Linked DNA regions of Macaca fascicularis. The protein of the gene in region 5 interacts with the protein of the main gene of each other region in a pairwise test. Links are inferred from orthologs where the notes say so. Each region holds a gene or a part of one and is shown on either strand. Other genes may lie near its edges.

The links.
Region 1: the proteins of UBE2D4 (region 5) and RNF4 interact in a two-hybrid assay, tested with the Homo sapiens proteins (2 studies listed by BioGRID and IntAct). The link is inferred for Macaca fascicularis from reciprocal best matches to the Homo sapiens genes UBE2D4 and RNF4.
Region 2: the proteins of UBE2D4 (region 5) and AMFR interact in a two-hybrid assay, tested with the Homo sapiens proteins (2 studies listed by BioGRID and IntAct). The link is inferred for Macaca fascicularis from reciprocal best matches to the Homo sapiens genes UBE2D4 and AMFR.
Region 3: the proteins of UBE2D4 (region 5) and RNF25 interact in binary tests that used the Homo sapiens proteins (3 or more experiments, as listed by UniProt). The link is inferred for Macaca fascicularis from reciprocal best matches to the Homo sapiens genes UBE2D4 and RNF25.
Region 4: the proteins of UBE2D4 (region 5) and RFWD3 interact in a two-hybrid assay, tested with the Homo sapiens proteins (2 studies listed by BioGRID and IntAct). The link is inferred for Macaca fascicularis from reciprocal best matches to the Homo sapiens genes UBE2D4 and RFWD3.
Region 6: the proteins of UBE2D4 (region 5) and RNF111 interact in a two-hybrid assay, tested with the Homo sapiens proteins (2 studies listed by BioGRID and IntAct). The link is inferred for Macaca fascicularis from reciprocal best matches to the Homo sapiens genes UBE2D4 and RNF111.

What each region holds. Positions count from the first base shown.
Region 1 is NC_088379.1:2,673,889-2,677,388, reverse strand, and holds part of RNF4 (E3 ubiquitin-protein ligase RNF4), read right to left. Parts: intron 3,333-3,500; coding exon 3,323-3,332; intron 2,856-3,322; coding exon 2,696-2,855; intron 2,202-2,695; coding exon 2,153-2,201; intron 1,622-2,152; coding exon 1,472-1,621; 3' UTR 1-1,471. UniProt on the Homo sapiens protein: E3 ubiquitin-protein ligase which binds polysumoylated chains covalently attached to proteins and mediates 'Lys-6'-, 'Lys-11'-, 'Lys-48'- and 'Lys-63'-linked polyubiquitination of those substrates and their subsequent targeting to the proteasome for degradation.
Region 2 is NC_088394.1:52,484,932-52,489,050, forward strand, and holds the start of AMFR (E3 ubiquitin-protein ligase AMFR), read right to left. Parts: upstream 2,801-4,119; 5' UTR 2,596-2,800; coding exon 2,341-2,595; intron 1-2,340. UniProt on the Homo sapiens protein: E3 ubiquitin-protein ligase that mediates the polyubiquitination of lysine and cysteine residues on target proteins, such as CD3D, CYP3A4, CFTR, INSIG1, SOAT2/ACAT2 and APOB for proteasomal degradation.
Region 3 is NC_088386.1:114,599,312-114,603,453, reverse strand, and holds the start of RNF25 (E3 ubiquitin-protein ligase RNF25), read left to right. Parts: upstream 1-1,342; 5' UTR 1,343-1,374; coding exon 1,375-1,415; intron 1,416-4,142. Other genes in the region: STK36 (serine/threonine-protein kinase 36), read right to left, coding at 431-514. UniProt on the Homo sapiens protein: E3 ubiquitin-protein ligase that plays a key role in the RNF14-RNF25 translation quality control pathway, a pathway that takes place when a ribosome has stalled during translation, and which promotes ubiquitination and degradation of translation factors on stalled ribosomes.
Region 4 is NC_088394.1:70,432,284-70,434,913, reverse strand, and holds part of RFWD3 (E3 ubiquitin-protein ligase RFWD3), read left to right. Parts: intron 1-2,108; coding exon 2,109-2,252; 3' UTR 2,253-2,630. UniProt on the Homo sapiens protein: E3 ubiquitin-protein ligase required for the repair of DNA interstrand cross-links (ICL) in response to DNA damage. Plays a key role in RPA-mediated DNA damage signaling and repair.
Region 5 is NC_088377.1:86,333,873-86,337,981, forward strand, and holds the start of UBE2D4 (ubiquitin-conjugating enzyme E2 D4), read right to left. Parts: upstream 2,801-4,109; 5' UTR 2,766-2,800; coding exon 2,724-2,765; intron 2,710-2,723; exon of another isoform or gene 2,310-2,709; coding exon of another isoform or gene 2,286-2,309; exon of another isoform or gene 2,116-2,285; intron 2,078-2,115; exon of another isoform or gene 1,877-2,077; intron 814-1,876; exon of another isoform or gene 708-813; intron 1-707. UniProt on the Homo sapiens protein: Accepts ubiquitin from the E1 complex and catalyzes its covalent attachment to other proteins. In vitro able to promote polyubiquitination using all 7 ubiquitin Lys residues, but may prefer 'Lys-11' and 'Lys-48'-linked polyubiquitination.
Region 6 is NC_088381.1:35,570,969-35,573,315, reverse strand, and holds the end of RNF111 (E3 ubiquitin-protein ligase Arkadia), read right to left. Parts: intron 2,151-2,347; coding exon 2,033-2,150; 3' UTR 501-2,032; downstream 1-500. UniProt on the Homo sapiens protein: E3 ubiquitin-protein ligase. Required for mesoderm patterning during embryonic development. Acts as an enhancer of the transcriptional responses of the SMAD2/SMAD3 effectors, which are activated downstream of BMP.

The DNA.
Region 1 (3,500 bases), on a different chromosome or scaffold from region 5:
TCCTTCAGCCCCGTCTAAAGTGAATTCTGTGCTGAGTCCCTGCTCCTTCAGAAGGGTAAACTGAAGGTCAGTTATTGCTAACAAAGCCAGAAGTGGCCCCTTTCCCACTCTGAAGATGTTTCACACGAAAAGGCCGTTTGTTTGGCTTGAAGCCCTCTGAGGAAGGAGGACAGCGGAAGAGGAGGCAGGCTGGCACTGTAAGGCCTCTCTTGTTAGCCACCCCCAGGCCCTGTGCTGTCAGAGGCAGCGTGGGCCACTCTGCTGCCCTTCAGAGAACCTGAGGCTCCCACATACCTGTGGAGTGAGGGAGAGGTTGTCATCTGGGCCCGTGTTTCACCCATCAAAACCTATGGAGCAGTCAAAGCCCAAAGGATCCAAGCCCAGCTGGCCAGAGGAGTAGCTTCTGAAACAAATGGCACTGGGTTGGGAAGGATGAGAAAGCCAAGTCAGGTGGGCCAGGTTCTCCGAAACATGGGGCAACAGTGACTTGGGCAAAAGCCTGGAACTGAGCGGCTGATAAGGCCACAATTACTGCCACCACCTCTCAGTATCTACGCGGGGGCAGACGTTAGGCAGTGGAAACCGAGGAACTGAGGACTGGAGGGCGTGTGGCAAATACAGGATGGATTTTATCAGAAAAGAGAGGACACCCAAACACGTGCCTGCCCTATTTATCTTGCATGTCCTGTGCCAGGTGAAGGACGCTGGAGCATGGGTAAGGTTCCTGAGAACAACTGGCGGGCAGAAACGGGCTGGGATGGGCACTGCTCCCCAGGCAACATTAGGCCTCTGAGGGGGACGCTAATAGTGCTACATCTTGTGGGGTGCCGAAAAGTAGGTAATGAATGGCCTTTATTGCACTTTTTTGTTCTTAGGAAACGGGATTGCCCTGCAGTTTCTCCTGATTTGCAGAAATCACTGCAGATCAATGGTAAGGTGCAGGCAGAATCACGGGTGACCTCTGACTCTCAAGGGAAGAAGTCCAGTGATTGGTCTTTCCAGGGCCTCAAGGGGCCACTCTTGCACCTGGGATCTTCGAGCTGGGTGAACTGGGTCTGGCTTGGTCAATGTGTGGCAGGCAGATTGGTCGACCGGCAGACACTTGGAACAAAAGGTGGTGTGCCTGGGAAAGCTGGGGCAAACTTTCCAAACAAGGAAAATTTCTTGGCAAATGTGCAGGTTCTGCAACCAGACTAGAACCACGATTCCCAATGTGCCTGACTCCCTTTCTCCCACTCTAGAACTGGACCACCCCAGACGAACAGAGATGGCCTGGGAGGGCCCTGGGTCCAGCGCCATAGCATCAAACTGGAGATAACAAAAAGAAGGGGTTGGAAACAAAAGAGCAGTTTACATATCAGACGTTGGTTCTGAAACAGTCTTTTTGAGCTCAGGAAAATGGAGGCAGATACCACTGGAGAACCTGTCTGTCTGTCTGTCCATCCGTGTCTCCTGGGCGACTCTGAATACTTCATATATAAATGGGGTGGTACCGTTTGTGGTTGATCTTTTTCCTACAAGTTGGGCAAGTATTAGCATTCTTCAGGGAATCGCGGAGGCACTGGCTACAGAAGACATGGCCACACTCTGTGGAAACGATGAGACGTCCATTCTGCACAATCTAGAAGGGATTAAAAAGAGCCTCTGAGTTTGTCCTTATCCCAGAGCAGCCATGGTCCCCAGAGAATCCCACCCATCTATGCCTAAGATGACCAATTGAAGGAAAACAAGAGCCAGGCTGCAACAGGGAGGGGTCTGGAGAGCTAACTGTGCCTGCTGCGATCGCTCTAAGCTGGAGAGGAGGAGGCAGGGGCCATGGCATCTCAACAGTGTGACAGCCCAAGGTTATGAGGGACGCCAGTAAACACTAGCCGCTTCCAGAAGAGTCAGGATGGGGGACACAAAAGGAGGACGCATTTACACCCGGAAGCTCAAGGCATACAGGGATACAGGCGCTGAAGGTGAAAGTTGTAGGGTCCAAGGAGAAACTGGCACATTCTCCACTCACAAGCAGATCTGCAGCAAGTGATGCCCAGGCATGACTGCGAGTAGGGCTGTCCAGTCCCACCAAGGGAGAAGATCCTGTCTCATCCAGTTCTTTCAATGAAGTTTAGAAACCAGAAGCAAGGAAGATACAGCCTGGTTTACTTACCTCAGAGTATCCATCCATGCAGATAGGACAACTGACGGTACCCGAGGGCCTAAGAGCACAGTGCTTCACATTAGTTTTTCAGTCAATGCAAATATTTTATTATACCCCATAAGTGGCCTTCATGTAAGTGGCCTGCATCCCCTACAAGAGAACCACCCCGGCCTCCTCTGACTCTGCCTTAGCACAGGCATCCAAGAGACTTTCAGAAAAGCCAACTGCCCCAAGGGCATGTGGCAGGGTGAACATCAGAAGGTGCAGACAACCTGAGTCACCCTGCCCTCCCCCACGTCCCTACTGGCCCCAGGATCCCTGTCTGGAGCCACCGGGACTGCCTGCGCCCACTCTGTCAGCGCTCAGCATACTCTGGTTACAGTGGAAACAGCTGGGCTCAGTTCTGGGCCAGGTTCCAACTGTATCCAGATGCTGGGGAGAGGCTTGGTCAAGCCCTGCCAGGGCCAAGCCCTCAGGTTTGCTGAAAAGCATTCCTATGCCCTGGTCCCACCCCCTAGCACGGCAGCAGCAGAGCTGGGGGCATGTTGGTACCTGAGGCCTGTAGCGCCCTCATCCCTGGTGTTTCTGGGAGTGTGGGTAGTCACATACACGTCTCTGTCCCTGGACAACTCCTCGTCGTCACTGCTCACCACGCAGCTGTCAGCATGGTCCTGGGGCAGCCTCCTAGCATTCCTCCTTGGTCTTCTTCTTTCTAAGGTAGGTCACATTTTCAGGTTGGAGGCTCCCTACTCTTACCATCCTCACCACCCCCATCCTGATGCCTCTTAAGACCCTCTTCCTTCCCTGCCTGGGACCCCCAGAAAGAAACTGCTGCCATGCTCAGCTATAACCCAGAAGGTTCTGCCCAGCTCTGGAGGCCACTATCTTATCTTCTCAGGAGAAATGCCCCAACCCCTGCTGTGAGCTACCAGCCTTTCCCAAAATCTGGTAGGCCACAAGAAAGGACGACAGCTCAGTGTCAGTGATAGGGGTGAAGTTTCTTCAGCAGGCACAAGTGGACTGCCTGTGCGGGTCTGACCACAGTATGTGTGAAGGGATCTTCCTGCTTGGAGAGCTCCAAGCCCTTGGGGAAGGTCTGCCAAGGCCTGTCGCACCGCAGCTCTCACCTAAGGCAGTTTTTGCTCCAAACCCAGTGAAAAAGGAAATGAAACCACTTACCATCAACAATCTTGTAAAAAGAAGGAGAAAAACAAAAGAGAAACAAGCAATCAGTTTGATATAAGTGATAAATGAAGGCATTTCTTTTTTCTGACCTGTGACACCCTCTGTGGAACCCTCCGGTGAGCAGCAGGGGCCCCACCCTCCTCCCACCCGCAGAGTATCTGTGCACCTCCCC
Region 2 (4,119 bases), on a different chromosome or scaffold from region 5:
ATTATCACCTGTAAAATTGTGCCATATTACTGAGGGTAGGGGAAAGTGTTGTTCACAGATATGCCCTCCAGAGTGCCCAAAATAACACCTTCAAAAGGTTTTAAATTGAGTTTGTTCATGAAAAACCTCCTGTGATGCTATCAGACCGATATTATTCTAAACTGTGCTCCACAAAGATAAGTTTTAGGAACTGCAATATGTTAAACAATATCTAGCAGGACTTGCACTGGCAGAAGGATCAGTCTTTGTTTTGTCTTACTTGGCCTTGGCAGGCAGTGTTTGTGAAAAAGTTGAATCCGAATTCAACAGAACTAGGGGAGGATCCAGTTGACAAAGGCACCACCACATAGGGTATTCACTCAACAATCTTATCTGTCCCACCACTGGGGAAGGCTTTTGAGATTGTCACTTCTACTCAGCTGCTAAAGCAGAAACTACATAAACACTGAGTGATGAGACAAACTCACAGTGAGCACATGGAGGCTCTGAGAAACCAAAGCAGGCCAAAATAAACACGTGGAAATAAACACCCAGAGGAAAGATGGAGGAAAAACAGCACTAGGATCAACTGAGAAATGAAAATATCATCAGCAGAGAGTAAGAAGTGATAAACTTGCCAGAGGTAAGACCTCTACTGAAAATGCTGGAAGAAAAGGAAATTTCCTAAAAAGTAATCATCATCACAGAAAAATCAACAGCCTTTTATGTAATGTTTTCTGAAGAGGTATTAACCTTAGAATCTGAACATGGCTTTTATCAAAAGAAAGTCCTGCGGGGGAAAATCCATTAAATAATGCCAAGGTTGTTATATAAATAAAATAAGGGTTCCTTCTCAAAGGCTTATTTATATCTCAGACTTAAAAAATATCAAAGACTACATTATAATCTTAACATATGGCAAAAACACTCTCTATATCACTTTAAGTTGTTTACCTGCTAACTCAAATGCAAAATCAGATTTGAAATTAAGCAAGAGATGTGGGTGAGTTCTTTCTCTTCTCCCTTCTTTGGGTCTGTAAAGTTCAGTTTTACACAGCAGTAGACAAACAGGAACTTCACCCTTCACTGCCTTCTACTGAACTCTCCATCAGAAGGACCAGGAGACTTAATCCACAGCCCACAGAGTCCATAAATCCCACCGCTTCCTGATGAAGCACAGTGGGACTAATTATAACAAATGAGTTGCATATCATCCTGTCAACTTGGAATATTAATCTCTCAGTCATTTACAGCCTACTTTCAACCCCAAATGGGAACTTGGAAGGAGACAAAATACAAGAAGCCATATTAAATCCAAGTGAGACTTTAAATCCTGGAGAAACTTTTCTGATCACTGTGGGATTTACGTAAGTATTCAAGGCCAAGGTGAAAGCAAAATTCTGTAGCCAAAATATCATTGATCTGCTCAGTCTGAAATTATCTATTCTAATGAAGGAAACCAGCATGTGTGCCTTATCAATGCTGCTTATCTCGCGGGGGCAGACAACCTGGAAACTGCGTTAGAATAGATCCTCAAATAAGAAACATTCAGTTAACATGATGGGCTGCCTCTTGACACTGCGAATGTTTTGCTGTGTTCATACATCAAAGGAAAACTGTCATGAATCATCAGGTAAAGGCAGCAGAAAAGGAAGCACAGTTTGCCTGGTGTTTGTTTCATTAAACAGCTCCCAAAGGGGACAATCGAATACTAACCGGCAAAAAAGTTGTAGGAGACGCCTCTCTCCAACTGGAATGTCCAAAGACATCCAAGTGCTGAAAATTCCCCCATACTCAACGTCTGAATTCTCCCCTCTGCCCTCTCCTTTTCGTCGGAAGAAAACCCGCTAACAACAATCCCATGCTTGACCAAGTGGGAAAAGCTTTCAACTTCCCTCTACTTTGTCCAACCCTAGGGATAACGCACTCCCAGATCCCGACCTCCCCTTGAACCTGCCCTCTGAGATCTTAGTCTAGTTTCTCCCGAGGGTCCCCAGCCCCTTCCTCCCCACTGCCCTTTAACCCCTTCCCCTGCCCTGGGCCCCGTCCGCACCCCAACGCAGACCCTCGCCCGCCGCCTCCCCGACTCCCTTCCCGGAGCCCCCAACGCTGCCCTGCCCCTCGGGGCCTCCTCCTCGCAACTCCACATGATGTTCCTCCCGCCCGCGGTTCCCCCCCGCTGCCCCCCAGCGCCTCACCACTCTACCTAGGCAGCGCTCCCGCAGGCAAGGCCGCGCCCCCCAGGCGCTTGCCCTCCGGGGTCCCTGGCGCAGGGGCCCCTTGGCCCACCACGCCCCCCGCGGATAAAGGGTGACGCAGCGGACCCCGTCCCTGCCCCGCGGGCCCGGTCGCCTCGCTCACCCACACGAAGAGGCTATCTGAGAGCAGGTACTGGGCCACGTCGCGGGCCCGTGGTCCCCCCGCGCTCGGCCGGGCGGGCGCCGGCGGCTCGGGTTGCAGCGAGGCCGTTAGCTGGTCCGGCTCGCCCGGGCCGACCTCAGGCTGGCTGAGCGCGCGGTAGGCGCTGATTATGGTGCCCAGCAGGGCCAGGCCGCTGAGGCCCGTGTAGGTGCGGAGGCTGGGCCAGGGGAAGCGCTCGAGGAAGAGCAGCGGCATGGCGGCAGCGGCGACCTCCGGTCTCCGGGCCTCCCCGCGCTGCGGCCGGGCCCCTGCCGCGGTCTCGCGAACGGCGCCCACGGGCTCTGGCGTCGCTGTCGCTGCCGCTGCCGCTGCCGCTGCCGCCGCCGCCGCCGCCGCCACGCCGGGCCGGGCCGGGCCGCTCCTGGCTGCTGGCGCCGCTCCGCCCCGCGCTGCTCCCGCTGCTGCCCCTGCCGGCGCGGAAGAGCCTCGGCGGGCTCCGGGCAGGCCACCGCCCCCAGCGGGACGCGGGCGGGACGGGCGCAGGGGCGCGGCCTTCGTCCCCCGCCCCCAGCGGTCGCGCCGCCGCCTAGCGGGCGTAGGCCCAGGCCTCAGGCCCCGGGGGCCGGCACCCAGCATCATCCGCTGCCCGCACCACGGCTCGGCTGGGCCCACGGACACAGAGGGCACCTGCTCCGGCCGCGGCGCGGGCGTCACTCGGGCCCGCAGGCGCTGACGGGCGGGCCGGGCCTCAGGGCGCGGGGGACCCTGGCCACCAGGCCGCTGCCCACTTAACCCCCACCATTAACCCTCTGAAGCTAGTTACCCCCAAGCACTCCTAGGGGCCGAGCAGCTTCCCTGGTGCCCAAAACCCCAGAAGAAAAAATATTAACAGTCTTTCAAGTTTCTGCTGTTTACTAGTAGCCTCCAGCAGAAACTAAAAAATGAACCTGATTTAGCGGGAAATAAAAATGTGTTCCCTCATACACCAGAAGTGAGAATGTCAAATGGTGCGGCTGTCTTGGAAAATAATCTGCCCTTTCCTTAAAGTCAAACAAGAGTGACCATTTGACCCAGTAATTCCAGTCCTCTAAGAAAAGTGGAAACATACCTCCACACAAAACTTGTACACAAATGTTGATACCATTCTAACAACCAAAAGATGGAAACAACGCTAATGTCCATCAAGTGATGAGTAGATAAATGTGATATATCCATACAATGTACTATTCGGTCATAAAAATGAACTACTGATACATGCTACAATAGGGATGAACCTTAAACACGTGCTAAGTCAAAGAAGACAGCCACAAAGGTCCACGTGTTGTGTGATTCCATTGATATGAAATGTCCACAATAGGCAAGTACATATACAGACCCAGAAAGTTGATTAATGGTTGCTTAGGGATGGGAGGAAGAGGGAAGGTAGGGGGTGATAAAGGGCACAGGTTTCTTTTAAGAGACAGGGTCTGTGGCCCAGGCTGGAGTACGTACAGTGGCAGGAGCATGGCTCACTGCATCCTCCACCTTCTGGGCTCAAGAAATCTTCCTGCTTCAGTCTCTCCAGTAGATGGGATTATAGGCATATGCCACCACACGTGGCTAATCCTTAATTTTTGGTAGAGACAGCGTCTTGCTATATTGTCCAGACCTGTCTGTGGCTCCTGAGCCCAAGTGATCCTCCCACCGCGGCTTCGGAAAGTGCAGGGATTACAGGCGTGAGTCACTGGCTGGGACAGGTTTGTTTTCAAAGTGATGAAAATGTAAAATTGAGGTGATGAT
Region 3 (4,142 bases), on a different chromosome or scaffold from region 5:
GGAAAAAAAATTAAGAGGAAATAATAGAGTTCAAGTGGTTTACCTCTTACTACATGGTGTGCTAGAGACTAATAATAATAATATTTGTTGTTTACTAAGAGCCAGGCACTGTACTAACTGATTTAATGTGACAACATACTTAATCTCAAATGCCATCAATCAGTTGCTGTTCTTATCCCCATTCTAGAGATGAGGAAATTGAGACATAGAGAAGTTAAGTAATTTGTCCATAATTCTAGGGTTAGAAAGCGGTGGAGATGGAACTTATACCCAAATAATACAACTTCAGAGCTTATACTCCATAAGAAGTATGAGAGAGTCAATGCCTTAGGAATATAAACTGGTATACATACATCCCTTCTAGACCCATTTTCCACTGGAGTTGGGGGTACCAAATCCCACCCAAAAGGTATCCCTCTTTGTACAATACCTGAGCACTGTATTTTCTTCGACCCTTGTACACCCTCCCAAAAGAGCCTTCTCCAATCATCTCCAACACGTGGTACTTTTCCATGACAGAGGTTTCAGAATCTCTTAGAAGGAAAAAGGTAGAGACGGTGAAGAGCTATAGATCCAGGGACAATTCCACAACATCTGGGAGGCCTAGTTGGGGCATGGGAAAGGAAAAATGTTAGCCACCTTGCCTTTTCTCTTTTTCACAAAGACCAAGCCTCAAAAAACATGGGAGGGTAGAATGACGCAAAGGTGATGCGATCTTGGAACAAACACAGCATCTCTTTGTAGTTCCTCTCCACTTTCAGCCTCCTGTCCCCAACCCGGCCCCATGCCCACCTGACACCTGGTCCCCCTTCTCCCTCACCCAGCTTGGCCCACTCGACCCTGCTCTCTTAACCTAGCATCGCCCACCCAACCCTGCTCCTTCGAGTCTCCCCCAAGTTCCTGCCACTCCCAGATTCCTCAGCACCTGCTCTCAGACCCCCTGGCCCATGCGCTTCGCAAGCCAGGGTCCCTCTCTCATCCCCAGCCTAGGAGATCCAAGCTCCTCAGGCCCAGGGACGGATTCCCTGGCCTTTAGCCCCATATCTTCTGGCTGCCTGCATACGTTGCCTGACTTACAATTCTTCTCCACCCGCCCCTCGCGCCAGTCTGTTTTGGCTCCCTTTCTAACAATTTCACTCGCTAGAACTGGTGAGAAGTTCAGAGGACAAAGGCGCTCAGAGGTGTGGGAGGGACGGCGGACCACACATGGGCACTTCCTGGGACGCATCCGAACTGCCTCTGGGCCGTCAGGCCCGGCTAAGGACCCGGAGTCTGCGGTTGCCTAGAAACGACGCTAGCTGCCCACCCCTCTTAGTTTTCCGCCTCCGACTTCCCTAAGGGCATTTCCGGTTCCGGCTGCGGGCCGGTGAAGACATGGCGGCGTCTGCGTCTGCAGCTGCAGGGGAGGAGGACTGGTAACTTCGGGGGCATGGGCTTTGGCTGACAGTCTGGATCTAGTCCAGAGGCCTAGCAGCTGTCGCAGACGGTCCGTACGGCGGGCGTGTGGGGTGGAGCGAAGGATGAGGGATGGCAGAGATGCTGACATCTCCTCTGGGAGATCTTCTAGACTGGGGAACGGGAGGGTGGAGGGGCGCTGATCTGAGTGAGAAGAGACCGGGTCTGCGCCCGCCAGACCAGTTCAGGCCTCGCCTTATCCGGTTCGATCCCCTTTCCTCCAGCTTCACGCTATCCCTTTCTATGCTCCTCAAATGAATTTTCTCAGGGGCTTTGGGGGATGCCTGCCCGTCAGACCTCCCCATCTCCCTTTCGCCTCTCAGAACTAGTGCCCTCCGGTTCGGTACCCCTTTCTCCTTGGATCAGCGTTTTTCCGCCGACGCTTTCCTCAACCTTCTCTCTCCCACACAGCACTAGTGAGGACTATTGTCTGAATAAAGCTTTACACCTCACATAAAGTCCCTCTAGTCCTTCTCTCAAGCATTCTTAACTAAAGACTAGAACATGGAAGGACTCTGGGATTTGGAAGTAGGATCAATGTGGGTTAACTCCGCATTTTATTAGCTGTGTGATGCTGACCAGGCCATCTAGCTTCTGTGAGTCAGTGTCCTCAGCTGTAAAAACAAAGTGGGTGTGGTATTTACCTCAGAATAGTTGAGAGGATCACGATGGATTTGTAATATACTTAAGTCTGTTTTTTTGTTTTGTTTTGTTTTGTTTTGTTTTTTGAGACAGAGTCTCACTGTCGCCCACGCTGGAGTGCGGTGGTGCGATTATGGCTCACTGCAGCCTCAACCTCCCCAGGCTCAGGTGATCCTCTTGCCTCAGCCTTCCAAGTAGCTGAGGCTACAGGTCTGTGCCACCATGCCCAGCTAATTTTGTATTTTTTGTAGAGACAGAGTTTTGCCATGTTGGCCAGGCTGGTCTTGAACCCCTGGGTTCAAGTGATCCTCCCACCTCAGCCTCCCAAGGTGCTGGAATTACAGGCGTGAGCCACCACACCCGGCCTCCTTTTCATTAATAACTGAGGTGCAGGCACCTGGGAAGATTAGATGAGCCCCAAAGAAGTAAAGTGATTTGCCAAAAGGTGGAAAATTGCGACTAGAAATCCACATCTATCTGACTCCACACCTTAGATTCTTTATACTAGGACATTCTTCAATCCCCTCTCCCCCATTTTGTTGTCACCACCTTACCAGCATCCCATCCAGGACCCACATAACTAGGGTAGGCAAAGTATTGAAGGGCCACTTGACTGAGGCTACACCTCAGTGTTACATTGGTTCAGGGAGCCCTGCTAGTACTGGCCTTTATTAAGACTATCTAGACTACTGGTTTTCAAAGTGTTCAGGGAAACTTTTTCTTTTCTTTTTTTAAGAGACGGAGTCTTACTTTGTCACCCAGGCTGGAGTACAGTGGCAAGATCATGGCTCATTACAGACTCAACCTCCTGGGCTCCAGCGATTCTTCTGCCTCAGCCTCCCAAGTAGCTGGGACCACTGTGTCCAGCTAATTTTTTATTTTCTGTAGAGATAGTCTCGCTTTGTTGCCCAGGCTGGTCTCGAACTCCTGGCCTCAAGTGATCCTCCCACCTCAGCCTCCCAAAGTGCTGGGATAACTTATAGTTGACCTGTTCAGGGGAACTTTTAAGATTCAGGGGAGACACCTTGAGCCATGGAGAGAACAACAGTGAGTGCAGCAGCCTGTAGTGCTGTGAGACTCCCATCCCATGTCAGCCAAAACTACACTATTTTCTGTGAGGTGTAAAGCTTTGTATTTTATATTTTGAAGTTTCTGCCTAAGACTTAACAACAACTGACATAAGTCATGCTGGAGCAGCCTTACTCTTAGAATGAAGAGAGAGCAGTATGAGAAAGGAAAGTATGCATTTTTCCATGTATCACCTGGTAGAGCTGTAGACACAAACTGATCACTCAGCTTCAATTTCAATACAACTACTGTTTCTATGCTTAAGCATGTGTGTCCTCTGATTTACATCGGAACATGGATGCTAACCTCAACAGGCTGATGTAGATCAACCAGACAGCCAGGGTCATAAATACATCCAGAGTACTCTACTACCTCCCTCCTTCCCTCTTCCTTCTAAGGGAGAAGGTTATATACAGACGGGAAGAAAAAGAGGATGTAGACTAGCTACTATAGCCCAGATACTATTAGGTACTTTATATAAACAAATCACCTTTTATCCTCATAGTAACCCTAGAGAGTAGGTGTTATCATCTATATGTGATAGACAGGATAACTTAAGCTTACAGAGAGGTCACTTCCCAGATCGCATAGCTTGTAAGTGATTGGTACCTGTTACTAACTCCGAGGCTGCTGGCTTTTCCATTACAACACAGCCTTTACACCACCCTAGACCTGTTGTGTTGAGGTTGCTATCTCCTTTAAGAAGGCTTAGGGTGACTGGTGTTAAAAGTGTATGTAGACGGTAGCCAAGGCACTGGGATCCACACTGGACATTGATGTAGGGAAAGGCTGGAGTAATATTGGTAACGTTAATGCTAGTAAATGGGTGCCATACCTCTAGACCAGAAAGTCAGCCACTAAGGGGAATGAAACTTAAACAGGGAGTCAGGAAACCCGACTCTGGGCCCAGTTCTACCTATGTTAAGCCTTGGTTAGTCATTTTATTTTTCTGGAATCCACTTCTTCATCTCTTGGCA
Region 4 (2,630 bases), on a different chromosome or scaffold from region 5:
TGTGAGGTTGCTTGGTTTACATATGCTTTCCATACTGCTTTGTAGATCTTGACTCACTGTTGCAACCTCTACCTCCTGAGTTCAAGTGATTCTCCTGCCTCAGCCTCCTGAGTAGCTGGGATTACAGGCACCCACCACCACACCCAACTGATTTTTGTATTTTTAGTAGAGACAGGGTTTCACTGTGTTGACCAGGCTGGTCTCGAACTCCTGATCTCAAGTGATACACCAGCCTCGGCCTCCCGAAGTGCTGGGATTATAGATGTGAACCATCGTACCCAGCTGAGATGTTCTTGAACCTGAGTCTAATTAAGTCGTAGAGTAGCACTGTCCAATACAGTCACACTAGTCACATGAGCACTTAAAGTGTGCTTAGTGCCAAGGAAGAACTTAATGTTTTACTTTATTTTTAATCAAGTTAAATATAAACTTATGTGACTAGAGACCACTATATTGTATAGTGCCACTCTAGAAGCTAGCGCTAAGTTTCATTGACTGGAGTTGCAGGGAATAGAGGAGAACAAGTTTAATGATAGCACAGAAAGTATACACACAAGTCCAGGTTGTGGGCGTTCTGTAAGACAGCTGATCCGGCTTCCACAAGAAGTCAATGGCAGAAGAAAAAAGGTGGGATCACAGGCATGAGCCATGACGCCCGGCCCATCCTTTTGTTTTTTTTTTTTTAAACAGATGCGTACTTTTTTTTTTTTTTTCTTGAGACAGTCTCGCTCTGTTACCCAGGCTGGAATGCGGTGGCGCAGTCTCGGCTCACTGCCACCTCTGCCTCCCAGGTTCAAGCAATTATTGTGCCTCAGCTTCCTAAGTAGCTGGGTGCACACCACCATACCCGGCTAATTTTTGTATTTTTAGTAGAGACGGGGTTTTGCCATGTTTCCCAGGCTGGTCTCAAACTCCTGGGCTCAAGCAGTCTTCTCACCTCAGCCTCACAAACTGCTAGGATTACAAGCATGAGCCACCGTGCCTGGTCATACTTTTTTTTTTTTTTTTTTTTTTTTTGAGACAGGGTCTCGCTCTGTTGCCCAGGCTGGAGTGCAGAGGCGCAATCTTGGCTTACTGCAACCTCCACCTCCTGGGTTCAAGTGATTCTTGTTCTTCAGCCTCCCAAGTAGCTGGAACTATGGGTGTGTGCCACCATGCCTGGCTGACTCTACTTTTTAATACTTTAAAATATTTTTCTTTTTTAGGAGACAGTATCTTGCTTAGTCTAGACTGGAGGGCAGTAGTGTGATCATGGCTCACTGTAGCCTCAAACTCCTCAGCTTAAGCAATCCTCTTTTACCCTTTCTTGAGTAGCTGAGACTGCAGGCATGCATCACCACACCTGGCTAATTTTTTAATTTCTTGTAGAGATGAGAATCTTGTTATATTGCCCCAGCTGGTCTCTATCTCCTATCCTTAAGCTGTCGTCCCATCTCAGACTCCCAAAGTGTTGGAATTACAGGTGTGAGACACCATGCCTGGCCAACGCGGTGGCTCACTCCTGTAATCCCAGCACTTTGGGAGGCCAGGGTTGATGGATCACGTGAGGTCAGGAGTTCAAGACCAGCCTGGCCAACATGGTGAAACCCCATCTGTACTAAAACAGAAGAAAATTAGCGGGGTGTGGTGGCAGGCACTGTAGTCCCAGCTACTTGAGAGGCTGAGGCAGGAGAATCGCTTGAACCCAGGAGGCAGATGTTGCAGTGAGCCAAGGAGTGCCACAGCACTCCAGCCTGGGCGACAAGAGCGAGACTCTGTCTCAAGAAAAAAAAAGGTGAGTTCCATGAGGGCAAAGACAGGGACTTTATTTTTAATTTACCTTTCTGTCCGTAGAAGAGCCTGACACATAGATTGAATGAATGGAAGCTGGGCTTTATTTTCAGATCCACTTACAGGTAGACTAATTGCTGATTACAGTAGGTGAGGCTGTATCTGAACCATGTCAGGTGTGCTGGCTTTGAGCAACTTTGTGAAGGTTAGGGATGGCCTGCTTTGCTCTCCAGGTAGTGTTCTCTCTGCAGCCTTTTAGACTTGTTTGATGATGAAGAAAGGAAGTCCCTTCGTGTACTGACTGGGTCCTGAACCTTCCCTCTGCTTGCGTTCTTTAGCTGTGGGATGCTGCCAGTGGCTCGTTGCTCCAGGACCTACAGACCAATCAGCCTGTCTTGGACATCTGCCCATTTGAGGTGAACCATAACAGCTACTTGGCTACCTTAACAGAGAAGATGGTCCACATCTATAAGTGGGAGTGACCGTGGTCTTGAAACCTTGAAGGCCTGCTGCTGGTTAAATGTTGTTTGCTAGCACCTAGCAGTCCCAAGCAAGATCCCTGTTTATTGTCTGCGGCCTAGAACATTGGGGATCATGGTTTGTTTGCATTAATATGATTCTAGGACTTTGGGTCACTGAGACACTACAGATTGTGTATCTGTTATGTCCACTAAAAGAGTAATTGATGGGTACTTTATCTACATTATCCATTTCTTGGGTTTAAAGCCTTCATTTACCGTTATTGTATGTTGGAAATTCTTATTTTCTTTATTTTCTATGTGACTTTCTGGACCTTAGAGAGTGTCCTCTCATCATCTAGGATGTAAGTAGGCATCAAGCATTTTCTGGGGGATATGACA
Region 5 (4,109 bases):
TTCACCACGTCCTCTCCTCAAGTCCTGTCAATTCCACTTCTGTGATGTGGTCCAGGCACTGCTTTGTGACCCATTTTGTACACCTCCTTGTTTCACTTTCACCACATCCTCTCCTCAAGTCCTGTCAATTCCACTTCTGTAATGTGGTCCAGGCACTGCTTTGGCCTAGCATCCATTCCATGGTCATTAATTTGGGCAAAGCCTCTGCTGAATCTTCACAACAGCCTCTAGTCTCCCTCTGTCCCACTTTAGGCCACACTGCCGCCAGAAGGATCTTTTTATAACACAGATCTCAGCACGTCATTCACCTGCTTCAAAGCCCTAGGATGACAGATGACCCCTTTCAGAGAATAACTCATCAAAATTATCTCTCTTTTGGACAGCTATTTAAAAAGAAGAGTCATACTCTCAGAGATCCTGTTATTCCACCTCTGGCAATCAAACCCAGTAATGTGAATTAAGGAAAAGGCTCACTGTACAATGATGGTTGATCTGGTTTGGATATTTGTCCCCTCCAAATCTCATGCTGAAATGTGATCGCCAGTGTTGGAGGCGGGGCCTGGTGGGAGGTGTCTGGGTCATGGGGGCAGATTCCTCATGAATGGCTTGGTAGCCCCCCAACAATAATCTGTGAGTGCTCACTCTATTAGTTCATGCGAGATCTGGGTGTTTAAAAGAGCTGGCATCTCTCTCGCTCCCTTTCTTACCAGGTGACACGCCTGCTTCTCCTTTGCTTTCCGCCATGATTGTAAGCTTCCTGAGGCCTCACTAGAAGCAGATGCTGGCACTATGCTTCTTGTACAGCCTGCAGAACTGAGAGCCAAATAAACCTCTTTTCTTTATTAATTACTCAGCCTCAGATATTCCTTTATAGCAAACAAAACAGCCTAATACAAAGTTCATAACAGCAAATAGTGAAGAATTTTGAACAACAGCAGCTAACTCATATTGAGTGCTTGGTATACAGCAAGCATGTGCTAAACACATTTCATAGCATTTAATTCTCGAAACAACTCTGTAAACATGTAGGACTGGGAGGCTAGGAATGATTAAGTGCCTTACCCAAGGTCCCACTATAAGTGACCTCACATTCTCTAACCCAGGTCTGACACCCAAGTTCATACTTTTACCTACTACAGTTTTACCTACTACAGGTAATGACTAAATAAGTCACTAGTCATGTACTTGTGGAAAGTTAATGTTAAAAATTAGTTACAGAACTGGACATGGTGTCTCACGTTGTAATCCCACCACTTTAGGAGGTAGAGGCAAGAGGATCGCTTAAGCCCAGGAGTATGAGACCAGCCTGGGCAACATAGTGAGACACTGTCTCTACAAAAAATAAACAATTGGCTGGGCATGGTGGCATGTAGTCCCCGCTACCCAGGAAGCTTAGGAGGGAGGATCACTTGAACCCGGACGGTTGAGGCTGCAGTGAGCCATGATTGTGCCACTGTACTCCAGCCTGGGCGACAGAGCAAGACTGTCTCAAAAAAAAAAAAAAAGTTATAAATACTACTTCACAACATGCTTACATTTACTATTATGTGAATAAGTGGAATACAAAATGCAGGATAATTGTTTTAAATATAGAAAAAACTGAACATAGGTATGCTAAAATGTTAACAAATAGTAAAGTGATAGGATTAGAAATACTTCTTTCTTCTACTGTTGTGCATTTTCCAAATCCTAGTGAATGCATTAAACCTTCATGGACTCCCTCTTACCTACAGGATAAAAATCAGTTATTTCAGCACTGCCCCTAAGGACCACCCGAGTCCACACCATCTGCCCTTCAGCTTCTCCCCTATCCTGTCAGTCCTCCAGGCCTCGTGGTCTCCCCATTGCCGGGAAAGCCTTTTTCCCTCTTCCCCACCTGCCGAGTTCCTACTCATCGCTTAGGACCCAGCTTCATCCTGGATACCCTTCTGGATACCCTTCTGGATACCCATCCAGCCCTTCTGGATACCCTAGAGGAGCAAGCTTGCCTTACTCCGGGGACCCAGCAACCCGCTGTCCAGGAGCCTGCAGGTGGCCCCACGGCGCCCCGCCAGCGTGACGCAGCCCACGTGGTCACGGCCCGGCCCCGCCCCGCGCTCGCGCAATCCCCTTCTCAGGCTGCGTTAGCTTTTCAGGCTGCGCGGGTGGCTGTTCGGCCACCTTCCTAGGCAGGTGTATCCGCGACTTGCGGAGCCTTTGTCACCTTTCACTTCACGGCAGCGGCGCCCCGCCCACACCTCGACGCTTCGGACACCCAAAGAGTCGGAGGGTGGGAAAGTGCGTACCTTCTGGATCCGCTTTAGCGCCATCCTACCCCGCTGCCGGGGACCCGGGCGGCCCGGCCAGGGCTGCCTGAGGCGGCCCGCTGCCGGGTCAGCCGCCACCGAGCTGCACGCCGGGAGCCGCCGCCTGCGCTTGCGCGCGCGGGGAACTGTGGGGCCGTCGTCGCCGCGTGCAGAGCGTCCTGGCGCGGCCGAGGGGAAGCCGCGGGGCTGCCCCGGTTACGCTGGCCACCCGCACCCGGTCCTGTGGCTTCGACCACTGGTCAGCAAGGCCCCGGAGAGGCCAGCGAAGAGGAGGGGCTCGTTGGCTTTACCAGACGCGCGGAGCACCCTCAAGGTGCCAAACGCTCGCTTGCTCCCTGTTCCTACATCCTGGGCGTCTTCTCAGGCTGTCATATAACTCCTGAGAATAGTGGTTCTTAACTCTGTAAGTATACATACCCTTGTACGCCTTATGGCTGGATGCGTTACAGCCATTTCCATGTAGATGTCTGTGCATACGTGCACACGCACAACTCTCCGCAGTTTTGGAGATCTCCGTGTTCAGTCGTACCTCACGTGATCTTGCACTGCCAATGTTGAGAACCAATGCCTTAGACTATGCATCACCCAAACTTAATTAGCTGTCTCCTTCCTGTTTTCCTAAGACTTGGCAGGCGTGTAGGTCAGAGTTGTTTAAACTGAGGGTTATGAACTATTTAGTGTGTCACGAAATCAATTTAATAGGTTGCAACCAACATTTGAAAAAAAAAAGCCAGACGAAGTGGCTCACGCCTACAATCCCAGCACTTTGGGAGGCTGAGGCAGGCGGATCACTTGAGGTCAGGAGTTCGAGACCAGCCTGGCCAACATGGTGAAACCCCGTCTGTACTAAAAATACAGAAATTAGCTGGGCATAGTAACGTATGCCTGTAATCCTAGCTACTTGAGAGGCTACTTGAGAATCACTTGAACCCAGGAGGCAGAGGTTGCAGTGAGCTGAGATCGCGCCACTGCACTCCAGCCTGGGCAACAGAGTGAGACTGTGTCTCAAAAATAATAAAAAATAAAAATAAAAAAGAGAAAAAAATGTCAGTGCCTTTCACACAGTGAAGGTAAGAATTGTGGAAGTTTTGTTGCTGTGTATATGTAGATGATATTTAATCTTCAGACTGAGACATGTTTGAGCATGAAAGTGGCTCTTAATATAATTACTCTGGGACCAAAGCCATAATTTAGGATTGTCTCCAGCCAGCCAGGACACATGGTCACCTCTATGTTTGTACTTAGGAAACAAAATGTATTATAGACATTTCAATGGTTGCCCAGCTTTGTCCCTGGCTTTCATGCTCCTATTCCCCCAATCTGTCCTCCACACAACTTCATAAACTGTCTGAAATATAAAGCTTACCACACTGCATCCTTACCCAGAACTCTTCAAGGAAGCCCAGTGGCCTATAGCATCACATTCACTGTCATTCAGGGGCCTTCAAAATCCAGGATCTTCAGCCAGGCACAGTGACTCACTGTGGCAAAGTGCCTGTAATCCCAGCACTTTGGGAGATTGAGGTGGGTGGATCCCTTAGTCCAGGAGTTCTAGACCATCCCTGGGCAACATGGTGAAACCCCGTCTCTACAAAAAATACAAAACTTAGCTGGGCATGGTGGTGTGCGCCTGTAGTCCCAGCTACTTGGGAGGCTGAGGTGGGAGGATCACTTGAGCCCGAGAGATCAAGGCTGCAGTGAGTTGTGATGGCACCACTGCACTCCAGGCTGGGAGACAGAGCAAGACCCAGTCTCAAAAAAACAAAAACTCAAAACAAAATCAAGTATCCTCCAGCTTTACCT
Region 6 (2,347 bases), on a different chromosome or scaffold from region 5:
TTCAAAAAATAGAGAAATCCACCTGTGCTTTACTTGTATTCGGGGGAACATCAAGAGGACTCCATGACATACAGTTCTCCCATCTTACACTTCTTCAATCCCTTGGCACAGACCCGGGGTATTCCAGTGGCAAAGTACTACATCCATTACAGGCTACTTACTTAAAGGAAGACAGGCTACTTGCTCTTTTCCCCAGTAAGATGGCAGCCATAGGTCACTCAGTCCTTCACTCTCCCCTGACCTTCTATAACCTCAGTTTAATCGTAAGGTATGCTCTTTAAATCCATCGTCCATCTACACACATACTATGTTGAAGCATGTTAACAACGACAACTATGACAGTGTAACATTTACTAATATGAAGAAAAGGGCAAGTAGTCATAACTGAACGAACATAAATGTCAAATTATGCAAATGTCAATTTGAGTGAGATCACTATTTTTGAATTCCAAGATGTTTAATGTAAACTGTTTTTATAAAAACTAATTATGAAACACAAAGACAATAGAAATATAAGTTATTTATTAATCAATCCACTTACAAAGCAGGTGGCTTAATGCAAGCTTATTGACATCTTCACATATGATCCATGGGAACATGTCCTCCACATACAGACAGTGATATTACTGACTGGATGCATTTGCAATCTGGGGCATATTAAGCATATTTAAACAAATAAAATTAGGCTATCCTGTATATGAAAGTATCTTGATAATAATATGCATCCTGAAGTAGATTAAAACTTCCTCCAAAGGAGAAATGTTAGTATGTTAACTTAACTTTATATTCTATATTATGCAGTAAATCTTAACTATAGAAATTAAAAATTTTAAATCAGTGATCGACTCTTGGTAATGTATGAAGTGGGAGTATATAACCATAGCAACAGTAGGTTGACAGTATAATTTGTGCCTCACAGTATCTGCAGATTTACTGTTTTCAAGTTTAGAGAGAAATAAAACAAGAGACATGTAGATTCAGCTGACTTTATTTATCTTTAAACTAATAAAAATCCCTTAAAAGTGATCCTGGGACCTTTAGAAGTTCTATGAATGCACAGATACCTGCCAATGACTTAAATTCCAAATCTTGCCTTAATGTGTCTACAAAATCACTGTAAGCAGATATCTTAACTTTTCGTGCTTAGCAGAAGACAACAAATTCTACATGTCTTTTTCAATTTCCCTAAAATTTTGTTAAATCTGCAAGTATGTACAATCTAGCTAACTGAAATTAATATTTAGTGTTCATCAGAGCTGTTTCACAGCAGCAAAAACTGAATCAGGGAAATAAAATTCTAAATGATGTAGGAAAAAGATAAATGCAATCAGAACAGCAGTCTAAATGTATGATATCAATATTCAACTCTTATCTGCACTGTGTTGAAAGGAAAAGGATACACCAAGAAAATTTATACTGATCACTCTGGTGATGTGACTACCACCTGCATCTGATTTAATATGGGTTGTATTCTGTTCCCAGTATTAAGGATGGTATTTAACTCAGAACTCCATATAGTAAATATACAGCAGCCATTTTGTCCTAATTAAGGAATGTCTTAATACACAATATTATCATTTTCTAGAGGATCTTTATACATTAAACTAAAGTACATGATTGATTAAATTAAAGATTAGTAATGGATAAAAAATTCATAATTATCTAGGCTTGGTACTATGTAAAAAACAAAAAGACCACAAAATTCTACTTACTAAAGCAGCTAATCTTGCCTGCAAGTTTAGGGTCACAAGCCCATAATATGTGCAAAGAAATGCAATACAAGGAACCATGCAAAAATACAGTAAAATGATACAGAAAAATGTCAAATCTAGAAAAAAAAGCTTTTATAAATACATGAAAATCAACTGTATACATAAACTGTAGGTCTAGCATTAGTTGTACCATATAGCAGAGCCAGCACTCTAAGTTCAATGCTTCCAAATCTGCGCAGGTAAGTCATGCCATCTTTGGTTGACTGCAGTACCAGGAAGGATGGGAATGAGAGGGAGGGCAAGAGTTCTGAAACATGGTGTCAACTTTCACTTGGGAGCTGGGCCTCAATGTCCACTCTGCATATGGGGCACTTCTTATTGGTGATCAACCATTGGTCAACACACACTTGGTGGAAAAGGTGCATACATGGAAGACGTCTATTATTGGCAAGAAAACAAAAAGCAAAAATTAATTTTATGATAATTGCACATGGTAAATTATATATGTAATAATTCAATAATGTTTTGAAGTTACTAAGCATCTTTCTCTTCTATAAAAGACACAGATTAAATTAGCACTCTGGGCAATATAATATATAAATGATCAAGATAATTAACTTTCAAAGCTACAGGAT